Linked DNA regions of Saccharomyces cerevisiae S288C. The protein of the gene in region 2 binds, or shares a complex with, the protein of the main gene of each other region. Each region holds a gene or a part of one and is shown on either strand. Other genes may lie near its edges. A codon is read from its position in the direction of its gene.

Region 1 (4,525 bases), on a different chromosome or scaffold from region 2:
TGAGTGTGATACGTATCAAATGTGGTGTCAGCAAGCGTCCGTAGTGGATGAAATAACAGGCGCAAATTTATGGCGGCGGAATTTCTTTTCGAGGAGGTACGACTTCAATTCTGTCATTGAACAATATAGCATATTGGAAAATATGTTAAGGGAGGAGAAGTATGATGTAGTTAAGGAGAAGTTTTCGACTACAGGCCCTTGTATGTTGAGGAACTTTGCGGGTATTGGAGATAAAAAGTTGTTCACAAAATCTTTGATGGGTACAAAGCTACTTATTGAACAATATTTGACCCGAATTCTAGAAGGCTTGGATATATTAAATAATCAAACTTTAACTCCAACATCCTTTTTCCAAAGATGTAAGTTGTCACTGGGCACAACAGCATTAATCTTGCAAGGTGGTTCATTGTTTGGGCTGTTTCACCTTGGGGTGATTAGAGGTTTATTGTTACAGGACCTGATGCCTAATATTATAAGTGGTAGCTCTATGGGGGCATGCGTTGCAAGTTTATTCGGTTGCTTGTCCAATGAGCAACTAAAGCAATTATTGACCGATGACAACCTCTTGAATATCATCAAGAATGATGTAGATTTATTAAAAAGCTGTGGATACGGTAATTTAGAGCAGCACCTAAACCTGGGGACTTTGATTCAGAACCTAATACACCACGGTTATTCTCAAGACGTTTATCTTTTTATCCGGTTTGTTATGAAATATATTGTTAAGGAAAAAACTTTTGAAGAAGTTTATCAAATTACTGGAAAAGTTTTCAATATTGTTATTCATCCAACTGATAAATCATGCCCTAATTTACTAAATTATGTGACAACCCCAAACGTATTAATCAAGTCAGCCATTGAATGCTCACTTGGTTCTGGTGTAATTTCAGAGGATACATCACTATTATGTAAAAATTTAGAAAATGAAATTGAGCCTTTTCTTAACATCAATAAAAATAAACAAGTCAAATTTCTTACCCCAGAAAATGCCAACAATCCGAGCATAACGGAGAGCCCCTATACTAGGTTAACGGAACTATTCAATGTTAATAACTTCATTGTTTCTTTGGCGAGACCATACTTGGCACCATTGGTGGTAAATGATTTGAAGCATGAAATAAAAACGTCAAAATATTACTATTATAAGCATTATCCAAATATGCCTCCTATAAACGCGAATACAGTAAGAAAAACACAGAGATCCTCTTCGCAATCACCCATAAAGGCAGGAACTGTCGAGGATCTTGAGCCAGAGCCTTTAATGAGCCCTGTGCCCCCAAGTTCGGCAGTCAACGATTCAGCAGAGTACATAATCCCAGAATTGGGCATACCGCAGTTGAACTTTACTGAAATGGAACCGCTGGCGTTTAAATTTAAGTATCATCTGGAAAGAAAATTAAAAAATATTGCCACTATGGAATTTCGACATAGGATGGAGGTATTGGATAATTTAGGCCTGTTGTGCTCATTAATAAAAAGACTAATAATTGATGAAAAGACTCCCAGATCAGCTACGGAGATTGCTGTGGTACCAAGGATGAAAAGTCTATCATTAACAAGGATTATTGAAGGTCAACTAAACAACATTCCATACTGGATAAAATCTGGTGAACGAAGTACATGGCCCGCACTAGCTTTAATTAAGACAAGATGTGCAGTCGAATTTAAATTAGACGACATAATAAGAGCAAGACGGAGTAGGTAGTATCGTTTCCACTTTTTTCTGTCTTATTTTTTTTATTGATAGAGCTCGATTGCATATATTTTTCATTGATATTGTACTTAAAAATATATTCAGTTCATAGAAAAAACAATAATACGAGAATCAATGTGCCTCGTATATAATCTTATCATTATTTAGCGATAAAATAGTTTTGTTGACTCCTTCTCATTCAGATATAGGTATTCATTTTCAACGACGTGTAGGCTTGTGTTTGAAGTTGCAATGGGTGCGCCGCCCCTGCAAACGTGCAATGAGCCGGTTACGTCCTTTGCAAAACCGGTCTTCAGAGGATTCAAGTTCAAATTAATCATTGATTTGATAAAGGAAGATTTGTAGAAATTTTGCAGATTCGAGGAATGAACAGAAGCATCGTATTCATCTATATTAAATATGTCCGAATTGGAAACAATGATTAGCACTTTGCATTGCCTCAAAAGAGGTGTGATGAACTTATTGTTTAATTCTGAACAAGTTAGGCCGCTTACTAGCGACAACAGTAATTCTGGTTGTTCGATGATAACAATGGTGTCAGTTGGGTTATTTTGTATAGCAGCGGAGAACTTTGCGAGTACGTCACTTAGTATTTTGTCTCTTGGCTTATTATGGATATTATTAACGATGAAGTCGGACAGGAAGTCTAAAACATTGTAGTTATTAGATGGGATCTTTAGCTTGTTTAATGAATTTGTAAAATAGTTCTGTTCGTGGATAAACGACGCAAGGACTGCATGGGAGCGAGTTGACGAAGGTAGCATCGATGAAGAAGATTCATTAAGGGAACTTGGGGAACCTAACACGTGCGTTTCTACTAGTGCGTTTATCATCCATAGTGGTTGAGTACAGGATTGATGGGTGATGAAGAATAAGTTATGAGAGTTGCTGTCTTGGAAAAAGTGGGCAGGAAGCACTGATTGGTCGCTGAATAGGACCAAATCTTGTCGTTGAACACTACCCATAAATGTGTATTTAGTTATTTTTGTGGAGGTTCTGGACGGTTTTTGCCTAACTTCTACTAGCCTCAATTTAGTACTTTTATTTTTTTTTCATTTTTCATTCTGCTCATCGCCTATCAATTCATGCCTAAGAGATGCAAAGATAGCGTACTATAGATGTGAAAAGTTGGATAAACAAAGCCCATGATATAAGCCACGGCTTCAGCCTTAAAATTGGGGTTAAAGGCTAAGAACGAATTGCAAATTCTTTTGCTTCAGCAGGAATTTTCCAACAGCAAAGTATAAAAAATCTATCTAAGCCGCTTTTAAATTAAGGAGCGTATATAAAATTATATAATCACACTCGAAGGACCAATCTGTGCTCTACATACCTTACGCGCTCTAATAATATGATCTATGCTTCATCAGTCTTGTTTATTCTTAAAGTATTTTTTTTTATGTTTGGTTCTTGTTATTGAACAAAAAAATGAATTAACCCGAACACTACCAAATCAATAGCAGAAGAAAAGAAGAAAATGATAAAATAAAGGTGAGAACCATTTTAAAGCATTATTCATTATGAAATCCTCCTATCTAGTATAACTTGATTCGACACCTTGCTAATATTTCTCTGAAGCACTGTCTTTAGAGGCAAAACGGTACTATCGCATATTCTTACCCGGTTTCAAGTTTTGCCCTCACGCTTTTTTAGGGAGAAATGACTTCCACCGAAAGGATAATTTGAGAACACCACTACAACTTAAAGTCCAAGAGCTTCATCAGTACAACGAGTTCGTATCATCAAGAACGCACATCAGCAGAATAATGGGAGGTATACTTAAAAACCCGCTAGCCTTATCGCCGGAGCAGCTGGCGCAACAGGATCCAGAAACGCTTGAAGAGTTTAGAAGACAAGTTTACGAAAATACGCAGAAAAATGCCAAATTGACATCACATAAAAGGAATATACCGGGACTAGATAATACAAAAGAGGAGGGGGAGATAATTGGAACATCGAGTACCTTCCTTCCAAAGGACACACTGTCACTGAAACATGAGCAAGACATGTTGGCCAAGATGACACCAGAAGAGCGAGTTCAATGGAACCAAAGAAATTTAGCAGAAAATGAAATAACAAAAAAGCAGTTCCAAGATATTCACATAGACGAGCCCAAGACCCCCTACCAAGGTGCTGTGGACCCTCACGGGGAATACTACAGAGTAGATGATGATGAAGATGAGGATAATAGTGATAAAAAACCATGCCAGGTGGCAAACGATGACATCGACGATTTGTCCCTGGGCGAACCGGAATTTGAAATCAAAGAGAACAAACAACCGGATTTTGAGACCAACGACGAGAATGATGAAGACTCACCGGAGGCTAGACATAAGAAATTTGAAGAAATGAGAAAGAAGCATTACGACGTAAGGGCAATTTTCAACAAAAAGTCCCGTGAAGCGCTAAAGGACGAAGACGAAGACGAAGATGATAGTACGACAAAAGAACCATGAAACATGACACCTCCATAACGTTTACCTATACTAAATATATCTTATTTTTTGGATTCTTGGTACATAAATATGCACTGTTTGTTATCACGCGAAACGAACTGATTTTTTAACAAGCTTTATTTTATACATGAAAAATTTCCCATCGATGAGCTGTGATCGGCAAGTGAGAGTACTCTGTTTCACAACTACTACCGGTCCCAGGAATATATACTACTGACCACAAAGCTGTGTATCACTTAGTTTGATGAGCAGCACGAGGAAGTTCAAAAAGGTTGAGAAACCTCTATCACAAACCAGACATTATTCACTCTGTATCCCCACGACATTGGTATCGGACTGTCGCAACCTCTCTCAA
Region 2 (3,996 bases):
AATTCTTTCTGCAGCTCACGCTCCTTTTTTGTTAATATTCATTTCACTTTTTCATATTTTGACATCTAGGCGATACCTTTTTCTACCTTCCAGCTGCCACCGCTTAGAGTCAGGAAAAAGACGATGGATATATATATAATAGTCGTATTTAAGATATAACAGATAAAAAAATAATACATTCACCACGCTTGTTAAAAAGCATGCCGTATATTTCCCATAAATTGAACCATATTCTTAATAGTCTAAAGATATCTTGGTCTTCTTTGCAGGTATATTATGTGAGATTTCATCCGAGTGCGAGTGTGAATGTGACTGTTCCGAGGCAGCTGAACCTTCAGCATCATCCACGGGTATGCCCCATTGTTCTATTTCAAACTTTTTTCTGCCATTCTTAAATGCCCATTCAGACTTTAAAACTCTCATCTCTCCACGGTCCGTGAAAACTGGTAATTTCAATATGTGGACTAGCCCATGTTGAATCTTCCCCGGTTGCGATTTATAAACACGTTCTAAGAACTCAGTCATCTCCTGGTTAAAGGGTTCTAGATTGATAACAGAATCGAACATGTTTCTCAGCAATACCAGTAATGGGGGAGTGATAATGTCTATGGATATGGAAGCAAACAGTACAACCCGCTCATAGTATTTCTTGACAAGACTCCTCACACCGTGCATTAAACCTATTATTTCAGATGATTCAAACATTTTGGGCGGATACATTGCCGGATGTAGAAGGGAAGGAATAACAATTCTTATCAGTTTCTTGTCATTCCTTTTAATAGTCTGTTCTATTTGGCTCAAAATAGTGGAGACAGGTTGAGTTGGGGCGATAAATGTCAGTTCAGATGCTATGGGAGCGGGCATCAGACGCGTTGTAATATCAAACTGATGATTGTAGTCCTTGTACTCAGAATTTTGTTGGATGTCATCTCGATCCGGAGAACCCAATCTCTTTTCATCTGCCAGTTTATATTTCCATGCAATTTTCAGGTCTTTGTACCTGGAAGGCGTCGATCTCTGGGTCTCGTTCAAATTTTGAACAGTAACTTTTGATTCTTCTTCAGAGATTAGGTTTTTCTTCATTTGTTTACGTGATCCCTTGTAGATACCAGGTAGCTCCTTTGCAAACATTTGGTTCAATGACAAGACAATGACATGAGTGTCGCCGTTTCTAGTTTTATCAGCACTGCTATCTGAAATTCTATTATGAACGATACCCTGTGCGGCAAACAGTTTACCGAGAATAGAGTGAAATTCTGTCGTGCTCTGCTCCTCTACTAGTACAGAGTTTCCCAGCGGCAGCCCCATATGGCCTAGTATACTGTCCAGGTCAGCACTCCCAGTTGATGTCGTCGGCTGAGAGGTTGCAGGAGAAGGTCTAACGCCCACATGGGAGCTATCCAGCCCCATTTTTGTCTTGGATTCGTCCGCAATATTCAACTTCTTTAATCTCGCTGTAGTGTCAGACAAGGGCACATTTCCAGGGGCTCTTCTGTTGCCTGTCCTCAATGGCGTTGAGGAAGTTCGTGGAGGACCTCTTAACAGTGGACCTCTTAGCCCGCTACCTCTATCGTTCAGTATTTCACCTCTTTTACGAAATGACATGGTACATGCGATATTTGGGAGCCGAATTTGTTATACAATGTTGTTCTCTGCACCTCATCTCTAAACTATCCAGCCTCATCGACATCTTCATATGTCGTTTTTGTTATTTTAACAGTTTAGAGTTCATTCCATGCGCTTTACCCGGTCTGGCGTCAAAAGCCATCAATAACATAGCTACTATTGCGTCTGAGAGAAGTCGACCATAGGGAAGAACTTGCCATCTGGTTTTGAGTTAGTTAGAATTATCACTATTGAAGATAGCCCAGCAAAATGCTTGTGCAAGAAAGCACATCGTCTAGTGGCCTTTTTTGAAGAAAGAATTGGAACTACTTTAGAAATACATTTACCACAGTGAGTATATGACACTGATATTCTCCTTGATTATCGCCCAAAATACATTGTAGGCTTCAAAAAGATTAAAATATCAATTAAAAGAGAGAGAATAAATAGGTTAAGGCCCAAATTACAATAGCGGCCTCCTATTTGTCTTTTCCATTCGATGCGATATTTATCAGTATTATATGAGAACAAATGGTGGTATTATAAAAAAAAAATATTATAATGAGATATATGTCTGATTTTAATAATAAACTTTTTAGCTAATGATTCCTTCTGCGTTCATTTTCTGAATATTATCAACAGCTGCTAGTTTTTTTTTTCCTTTACTGTCGTTAAGCAGTTCCCGAAGACTCACTACTGATGCTTAACAAAAAAAAAAAAACGTAGTTCGAGAATAGCGAGAATATGGTGTGAACAGTAGCACTCCAATTACTGAAGGATTGCATGCCTGCTTGTGTTGCAAATGAATTTTGTTACCTGCCATGTTCAGATGAGGCTTCTTCTCCAAAGGAGACTAGTGCGTTTACGAGAATCAGAGCTGTTTAGACCCCAGACATCATTGTCAACTTTCAAAAGACATGCTTCGCAAAAGACACGCCCTATACAAAAATGCTCGAGAAAATACGCACGTATACTTCTGTTGTCTGTTTTGGTACCTTACACAGGATATGCGTTTTATGTATCATTGGCTACAGTGAAGCAAATTGATTTAAGAAACGAAATGTGTCAAAGATTAGAGGAGAATAATAACGAGGTCACTTATAAGGGATCCTTGCTAAAATATAGCCCTTTGGAAGTTTTAGGCAGATTTGAGAACCCGTTCGAAGAATACAGGATTCAGACCGTTTTTGAATTCTTTGCAAATAGAGTGTTCGAATTATTTGAAAGAAATAGGGGAGGTATTCCACGTGATGTACACCAAATGAATAAGTTAATGCCTGTACACAAGCCAACATGGGGGCCTAACTTAGTGGACGTCGACCCCGCAGAGGAAACGGCATTGCCGCTAGAATGCAAAGTGTTAGACGAATTGCACATACCGACTGCAGTAGAAGAAAATGAAGGATCAAAGTGCCCAGTCTATAACACATGGCTGGGCCAGTCCTGTAACTACACGGTTTATAATGGATTGAGGATACTTACTGATCCTCTGTTCAGTGACTTTCTTATCCACAAGACCCTGGGTCCTAAAAGAATTACTCAAATGCCATCTCAAATTACAGAGGTGCCCAAACCAGATATCATCCTTGTATCCCATAATCACCCCGATCACCTGGATTTAGAAAGCTTGGAATACTGGAGTGGCAAAGACTCTCCCTTATGGATAGTACCTAAAGGAATGAAATCTTATATGACAAGTAACGGCTGTGATAATGTCCTAGAATTATCTTGGTGGGAAACTTTGCAAGTAAAGAAAAACAATGAGATATACCACATATCGGCTACTCCTGCCATGCATTGGTCTGGGAGATCGCTCTTAGATACGAACAAGTCTCTATGGTGCTCCTTTTTATTAACACACCATGGTAATCCCATACTTTTTCATGCTGGTGACACTGGATATGTGAAAGATTTATTCGTTAGAATTAAAGAACGCTTTGGCAAAGGTTGTAAATTAGCGCTGCTTCCATGTGGTCAGTATTGCCCTGAGTGGCACCAAAAACCACGACATATTAATCCTCAAGAGGTTCTCAAGATTATGAAAGATCTAGAAGCTCGAAATGTATTAGGCGTTCATTGGGGGACCTTTGTATTAAGCGGAGAATATTTCTTAGAGCCAAAGGAAAAATTAGAAATGTTGGCCGAGTGGGGTGGGTTTAAAGACCGCTGCTACTGTCCAGAATTGGGCAAGACAGAATGCTTCGACTAACTTAGGCGCTAATATTTAAGCTGCAGCGTCCCTGTAAATAGCGATAAATTACAGTAAACGTAGACTTTGGGAGATTGTACTCACTGAACATTTTATGATTTAATGATTTTGTAATTTAAAAACATTCGTATGATATCCAATAAGATGTTATAAAGAAATTACAATTAATGTTGATAAAAAAT
Region 3 (4,704 bases), on a different chromosome or scaffold from region 2:
AACACACGTTCCCTCCGCCTTGGCAAGAGGTGAGAGACCTATCCCCAAACCTTTGGATGGGAACACATTGCGTTGTGACACGGATAAACCCTTTGATTCTTACCAATGCTTCCCTCTACCGGAACCTTCGCAGACTCACTTCAAGCTGTCTCAGCTGTTTGCCAGACCAATAAACAATGGCAACCTGTTTGCTAATAGGCCCACAAGAATTTGTGCAGAAGTTGACCGTTCTACCTGGACTGCGTTTTTGTCAGTTGACGATACTATTTTCAGCACACATGATAATTGCTTTGACTTATCAAACGATCAAAATGAGGGTGGTTCGGGCTACGACTTTATTTTAGAATCGACGGACACTACTAAAGTTACTCCCATAGTTCCTGTCCCAATTCACGTAAGCAGATCTCTGACTGGTAATGGACAAGATCGTGGTGGAATGCGTATTGTTTTCCATAACGACAATGATACCCCTGTGAAGTTGATTTATTTCGAATCATTGCCATGGTTCATGAGAGTTTACCTATCCTCTCTTCAAATTACTTCTACTACCTCTCCGCAATTGCAAGAAAACGATATCATCTTAGATAAATACTATTTACAAGCGGCCGATAGAAAAAGACCTGGCCACTTGGAGTTCACGATGTTAATTCCAGCTAATACGGACATTGTAATGACTTATCAATTCGATAAAGCTCTTCTGCAATTTGCCGAGTATCCACCAGATGCAAACCATGGTTTTGAAATCGATGCAGCTGTAATCACCGTGCTATCTTTGGAGTCCTCATCGTCTCTTTATGAAATGAGAACCTCTACCCTATTGTTATCCCTGTCTACACCGGATTTTAGTATGCCGTATAACGTCATCATTCTAACATCTACAATCATGGGACTCATATTCGGTATGCTATACAATTTGATGGTGAAGAGAATGGTCACCGTCGAAGAGGCCGATAAGATTACGTTGCAATCTGGCTTAAAATACAAATTGCTAAAGCTAAAGGAAAAGTTCCTAGGGAAAAAAAAGACTAAAACAGACTAACAATCTAGCATCTAGATATGTGTATGAAGTATACGTAGTTTACATAATCTGGAAGCACTCACTATTTACCATCAGTTTCTACTTTTTAAAAGGGATCCTCATATGGATCCTCTTCATCATAATCGTCATCCTTTTCGTACTCATAAACAATAGCACCCCCTTGTCCAAAGCTTTGTGCCTCCAGAAAAGGCAATGCGACTTGATCTTTGGCCAGCTTCTGTTTGTTGGATGTTCCTAGGTTGAATGTTGTTAATCCTTGCAACATTTCGGGTGTCTCCAGTCCGTTACTACTGCTCTCCTCTTCTTGCTTAGTGGTTGATAATAATTCATATTCGTGGGTGTTTGAATTTACTATGAAGTCGTATTCCAATGACCTGCCGGACTTTCTTTTATTAACAAGTCGTAATTGAAATATATCGTTATTTAACCCGCGAGGAATTCTAAATTCGTTTAACAATTCACTCACCTCCTCAGTATCGAGAGTGCCTGTTAATACCACATCAATATCTACTATTGTAGTGGCCATAAACTGCAGTAAAGTCAACTTATCAGGATAATTGTTATTCCAATCAGGTATTACCGTACGGTTCTCATCTTTGATGTCTTTATGATAAGTCGCAACCATCGTGCAGTGAGGAGAGGCGATCTCAGACAAAAACCTTGTTATGTATTCTGTAGAAATATAGTTCAATGAATCGATAATGACCATGTGCTTTTTTGCCTGTGTGGCAGTAGCAGCCGGTAGATATGATATAATTTGTTTCACTAAATGTACAAAATCCATCTGCGTAGCGTCAATAAATTGAGTACAGTACGATGGTTTATTCACTGTTTCGAACGAAATGTACACAATTGGATACTCATTTCCTTTACTCTTGCTCTGGTGGACGAATTCTTGGATGAGCTTGTATGAGGTCTGGGCAATAGAATCTAAGCACAAAATGAAAGGGGAGCTTTCTGTGAGCGATAAGATTCTTTTCAAAAGAATGACAGGGTTATGTGACGAACTGGCCATTATATCTTGTTCTACCTGTAGCAATAGCTTGGGTTGGAGCTATTAAAAAGCTCTTAAGTTATCATTCTCCAGAGGTTATAATGGCATCGCTTCTTATATTTGGATTTTTCAAGGTGACCCGCACTATGAGATGATAATCAAGGCAGCATTAATAGTATCAAAAATACTTTAATAAATCATCAATAGGTAGTACTTTACATAAGTATATAGAGGATTTTAAAACTTGTAAAGTTATTTTCGAATGCATTTGGTTTGTAGATTCCTTTGATTACATTTAGCGAATCCTATTGCATGCAGAGAAGGGTAAAAGATACATAATGCCGGAGATTTATGGACCTCAGCCATTAAAGCCACTCAATACGGTGATGAGACATGGGTTTGAAGAGCAATACCAAAGTGACCAACTTTTACAATCACTCGCGAATGATTTCATATTCTACTTTGATGATAAACGACACAAAACTAATGGAAATCCGATTCCTGAAGAGGATAAACAACGAGATGTAAATCGTTATTACCAGCCGATTACCGATTGGAAGATTATGAAAGATCGACAGAAGACAGTAAGTGCGGCCCTTTTATTATGCTTGAATTTAGGTGTCGATCCCCCTGATGTTATGAAGACACATCCCTGTGCCAGAGTTGAAGCATGGGTAGACCCATTGAATTTCCAGGACTCGAAGAAAGCAATAGAACAAATTGGTAAAAACTTACAAGCACAGTACGAAACTCTGTCTTTGAGAACACGCTATAAACAAAGCTTGGATCCTTGTGTAGAGGATGTCAAACGGTTTTGCAACTCGCTAAGAAGAACTTCTAAGGAAGATAGGATACTTTTCCACTACAACGGACATGGTGTGCCTAAGCCTACAAAATCAGGTGAAATTTGGGTTTTCAACAGAGGTTATACACAATATATTCCGGTATCTTTGTATGACCTGCAAACTTGGTTAGGTGCGCCATGTATATTTGTCTATGATTGCAACAGTGCTGAAAATATATTAATCAACTTTCAGAAGTTTGTGCAAAAGAGGATTAAAGATGATGAAGAGGGAAATCATGATGTTGCCGCGCCATCACCAACTTCAGCTTATCAAGATTGTTTCCAATTAGCCTCTTGCACTTCCGATGAACTTTTACTTATGAGTCCGGAACTACCCGCAGATTTGTTTAGTTGTTGTTTGACCTGTCCAATAGAGATTAGCATCCGTATCTTTCTCATGCAGTCACCCTTAAAAGATTCTAAATATAAAATTTTCTTCGAAAATAGTACTTCAAATCAACCGTTTGGTGATAGTAAGAACTCGTTCAAGTCCAAAATACCCAACGTCAATATCCCTGGAATGTTGTCGGATAGGAGAACGCCGTTGGGAGAACTAAATTGGATTTTTACAGCTATAACGGACACAATTGCATGGACATCCCTCCCCCGACCACTTTTCAAAAAATTATTCAGACATGATTTAATGATTGCTGCGCTTTTCAGAAATTTTCTTCTAGCCAAAAGAATAATGCCGTGGTACAATTGCCATCCTGTATCTGATCCAGAATTACCAGATAGTATAACCACACATCCAATGTGGAAATCTTGGGATTTAGCCATGGATGAAGTACTGACTAAAATAGTCATTGATCTGAAAAATGCTCCTCCCGCTACTGCCTTAGAGAGTCAGATGATTCTACAACAACAAGAAACCTTACAGAATGGTGGCAGCTCTAAGTCGAATGCCCAAGATACGAAAGCCGGAAGTATTCAAACACAATCGAGATTTGCAGTGGCCAATTTAAGTACAATGTCTCTAGTAAATAACCCTGCTCTCCAATCAAGAAAATCTATATCTTTGCAAAGCTCACAGCAACAATTACAGCAGCAGCAACAACAACAACAACAATTTACAGGATTTTTTGAACAAAATTTGACTGCTTTTGAATTGTGGTTGAAATATGCTTCAAATGTCAGACACCCGCCTGAGCAGCTTCCTATCGTTTTACAGGTTCTTCTTTCGCAAGTGCATCGTATACGTGCGTTGGTACTTTTATCCAGATTTTTAGATTTAGGCCCGTGGGCTGTCTACCTGTCACTTTCAATAGGTATCTTCCCCTACGTTTTGAAGCTGCTACAAAGTCCAGCACCTGAGTTGAAGCCCATCCTAGTTTTTATTTGGGCCCGTATCATGTCAATAGATTACAAAAACACGCAAAGTGAATTAATCAAAGAAAAGGGTTATATGTATTTTGTTACAGTGTTAGTACCTGATTGGGGTGTTAATGGCATGTCAGCTACAAATGGCTCAGCCATGATAAATAGTGGGAACCCGTTGACAATGACTGCATCGCAGAATATAAATGGTCCATCTTCAAGATATTATGAACGCCAGCAAGGAAATAGAACATCCAACTTGGGCCACAATAATCTTCCATTTTATCATTCTAATGATACCACCGATGAACAAAAAGCTATGGCTGTCTTTGTTTTGGCATCATTCGTTCGAAACTTTCCTCTGGGGCAAAAAAATTGTTTTAGTTTGGAACTGGTCAACAAGTTGTGCTTTTATATTGATAATTCTGAGATACCCCTACTAAGACAGTGGTGTGTTATTTTATTAGGTTTATTGTTTGCTGATAACCCCTTAAACAGGTTTGTATGTAT

Evidence for each region.
Region 1: the proteins of ELP4 (region 2) and ELP6 are in contact, whole or in part, in a crystal structure (PDB 4A8J), measured with the Saccharomyces cerevisiae proteins. Residues at the interface, in NP_015224.1 of Saccharomyces cerevisiae: Val265 (codon at 813), Ser266 (codon at 810), Leu269 (codon at 801), Ser304 (codon at 696), Ser305 (codon at 693), Ile308 (codon at 684), Gly309 (codon at 681), His312 (codon at 672), Gly313 (codon at 669), Arg315 (codon at 663), Ser316 (codon at 660), Lys319 (codon at 651), Lys320 (codon at 648), Tyr322 (codon at 642), Pro338 (codon at 594), Pro339 (codon at 591), Val342 (codon at 582), Leu343 (codon at 579), Asn346 (codon at 570), Met347 (codon at 567), Thr390 (codon at 438), Asp391 (codon at 435), Arg392 (codon at 432), Gly393 (codon at 429), Glu394 (codon at 426), Met395 (codon at 423), Val397 (codon at 417); in NP_014043.1 of Saccharomyces cerevisiae: Ser38 (codon at 2,568), Cys39 (codon at 2,565), Thr40 (codon at 2,562), Gln41 (codon at 2,559), Leu43 (codon at 2,553), Trp44 (codon at 2,550), Phe82 (codon at 2,436), Ile83 (codon at 2,433), His84 (codon at 2,430), Glu85 (codon at 2,427), Asn87 (codon at 2,421), Tyr88 (codon at 2,418), Phe108 (codon at 2,358), Leu109 (codon at 2,355), Ser110 (codon at 2,352), Asp111 (codon at 2,349), Phe112 (codon at 2,346), Ile113 (codon at 2,343), Val114 (codon at 2,340), His118 (codon at 2,328), Gln150 (codon at 2,232), Leu153 (codon at 2,223), Ser156 (codon at 2,214), Leu157 (codon at 2,211), Val158 (codon at 2,208), Ser159 (codon at 2,205), Asn186 (codon at 2,124), Asp188 (codon at 2,118), Ile189 (codon at 2,115), Ile192 (codon at 2,106).
Region 3: the proteins of ELP4 (region 2) and IKI1 are in contact, whole or in part, in a crystal structure (PDB 4A8J), measured with the Saccharomyces cerevisiae proteins. Residues at the interface, in NP_015224.1 of Saccharomyces cerevisiae: Thr115 (codon at 1,263), Thr116 (codon at 1,260), His293 (codon at 729), Pro294 (codon at 726), Pro299 (codon at 711), Phe302 (codon at 702), Glu303 (codon at 699), Ser304 (codon at 696), Ser332 (codon at 612), Ile335 (codon at 603), Thr337 (codon at 597), Leu340 (codon at 588), Gln359 (codon at 531), Thr362 (codon at 522), Glu363 (codon at 519), Glu366 (codon at 510); in NP_012057.3 of Saccharomyces cerevisiae: Ala2 (codon at 2,051), Ser3 (codon at 2,048), Ser4 (codon at 2,045), Glu115 (codon at 1,712), Thr118 (codon at 1,703), Asn151 (codon at 1,604), Asn152 (codon at 1,601), Asn153 (codon at 1,598), Tyr154 (codon at 1,595), Pro155 (codon at 1,592), Thr159 (codon at 1,580), Leu160 (codon at 1,577), Phe163 (codon at 1,568), Lys209 (codon at 1,430), Ser212 (codon at 1,421), Gly213 (codon at 1,418), Arg214 (codon at 1,415), Ser215 (codon at 1,412), Leu216 (codon at 1,409), Glu217 (codon at 1,406), Tyr218 (codon at 1,403).

Annotation. Positions count from the first base shown.
Region 1 is NC_001145.3:896,559-901,083, reverse strand, and holds ELP6 (Elongator subunit ELP6), read right to left. Parts: upstream 2,680-4,525; coding exon 1,858-2,679; downstream 1-1,857. Other genes in the region: TGL3 (bifunctional triglyceride lipase/lysophosphatidylethanolamine acyltransferase), read left to right, coding at 1-1,705; PP1-complex regulatory subunit GLC8, read left to right, coding at 3,481-4,170; UPA2 (putative methyltransferase), read left to right, coding at 4,415-4,525. UniProt on the Saccharomyces cerevisiae protein: Component of the elongator complex which is required for multiple tRNA modifications, including mcm5U (5-methoxycarbonylmethyl uridine), mcm5s2U (5-methoxycarbonylmethyl-2-thiouridine), and ncm5U (5-carbamoylmethyl uridine).
Region 2 is NC_001148.4:357,818-361,813, reverse strand, and holds ELP4 (Elongator subunit ELP4), read right to left. Parts: upstream 1,606-3,996; coding exon 235-1,605; downstream 1-234. Other genes in the region: FMP30 (N-acetylphosphatidylethanolamine-hydrolyzing phospholipase D), read left to right, coding at 2,408-3,814. UniProt on the Saccharomyces cerevisiae protein: Component of the elongator complex, a multiprotein complex which is required for multiple tRNA modifications, including mcm5U (5-methoxycarbonylmethyl uridine), mcm5s2U (5-methoxycarbonylmethyl-2-thiouridine), and ncm5U (5-carbamoylmethyl uridine).
Region 3 is NC_001140.6:478,340-483,043, reverse strand, and holds IKI1 (Elongator subunit IKI1), read right to left. Parts: upstream 2,055-4,704; coding exon 1,125-2,054; downstream 1-1,124. Other genes in the region: GPI-anchor transamidase subunit GPI16, read left to right, coding at 1-1,039; ubiquitin-binding TORC1 subunit KOG1, read left to right, coding at 2,372-4,704. UniProt on the Saccharomyces cerevisiae protein: Component of the elongator complex which is required for multiple tRNA modifications, including mcm5U (5-methoxycarbonylmethyl uridine), mcm5s2U (5-methoxycarbonylmethyl-2-thiouridine), and ncm5U (5-carbamoylmethyl uridine).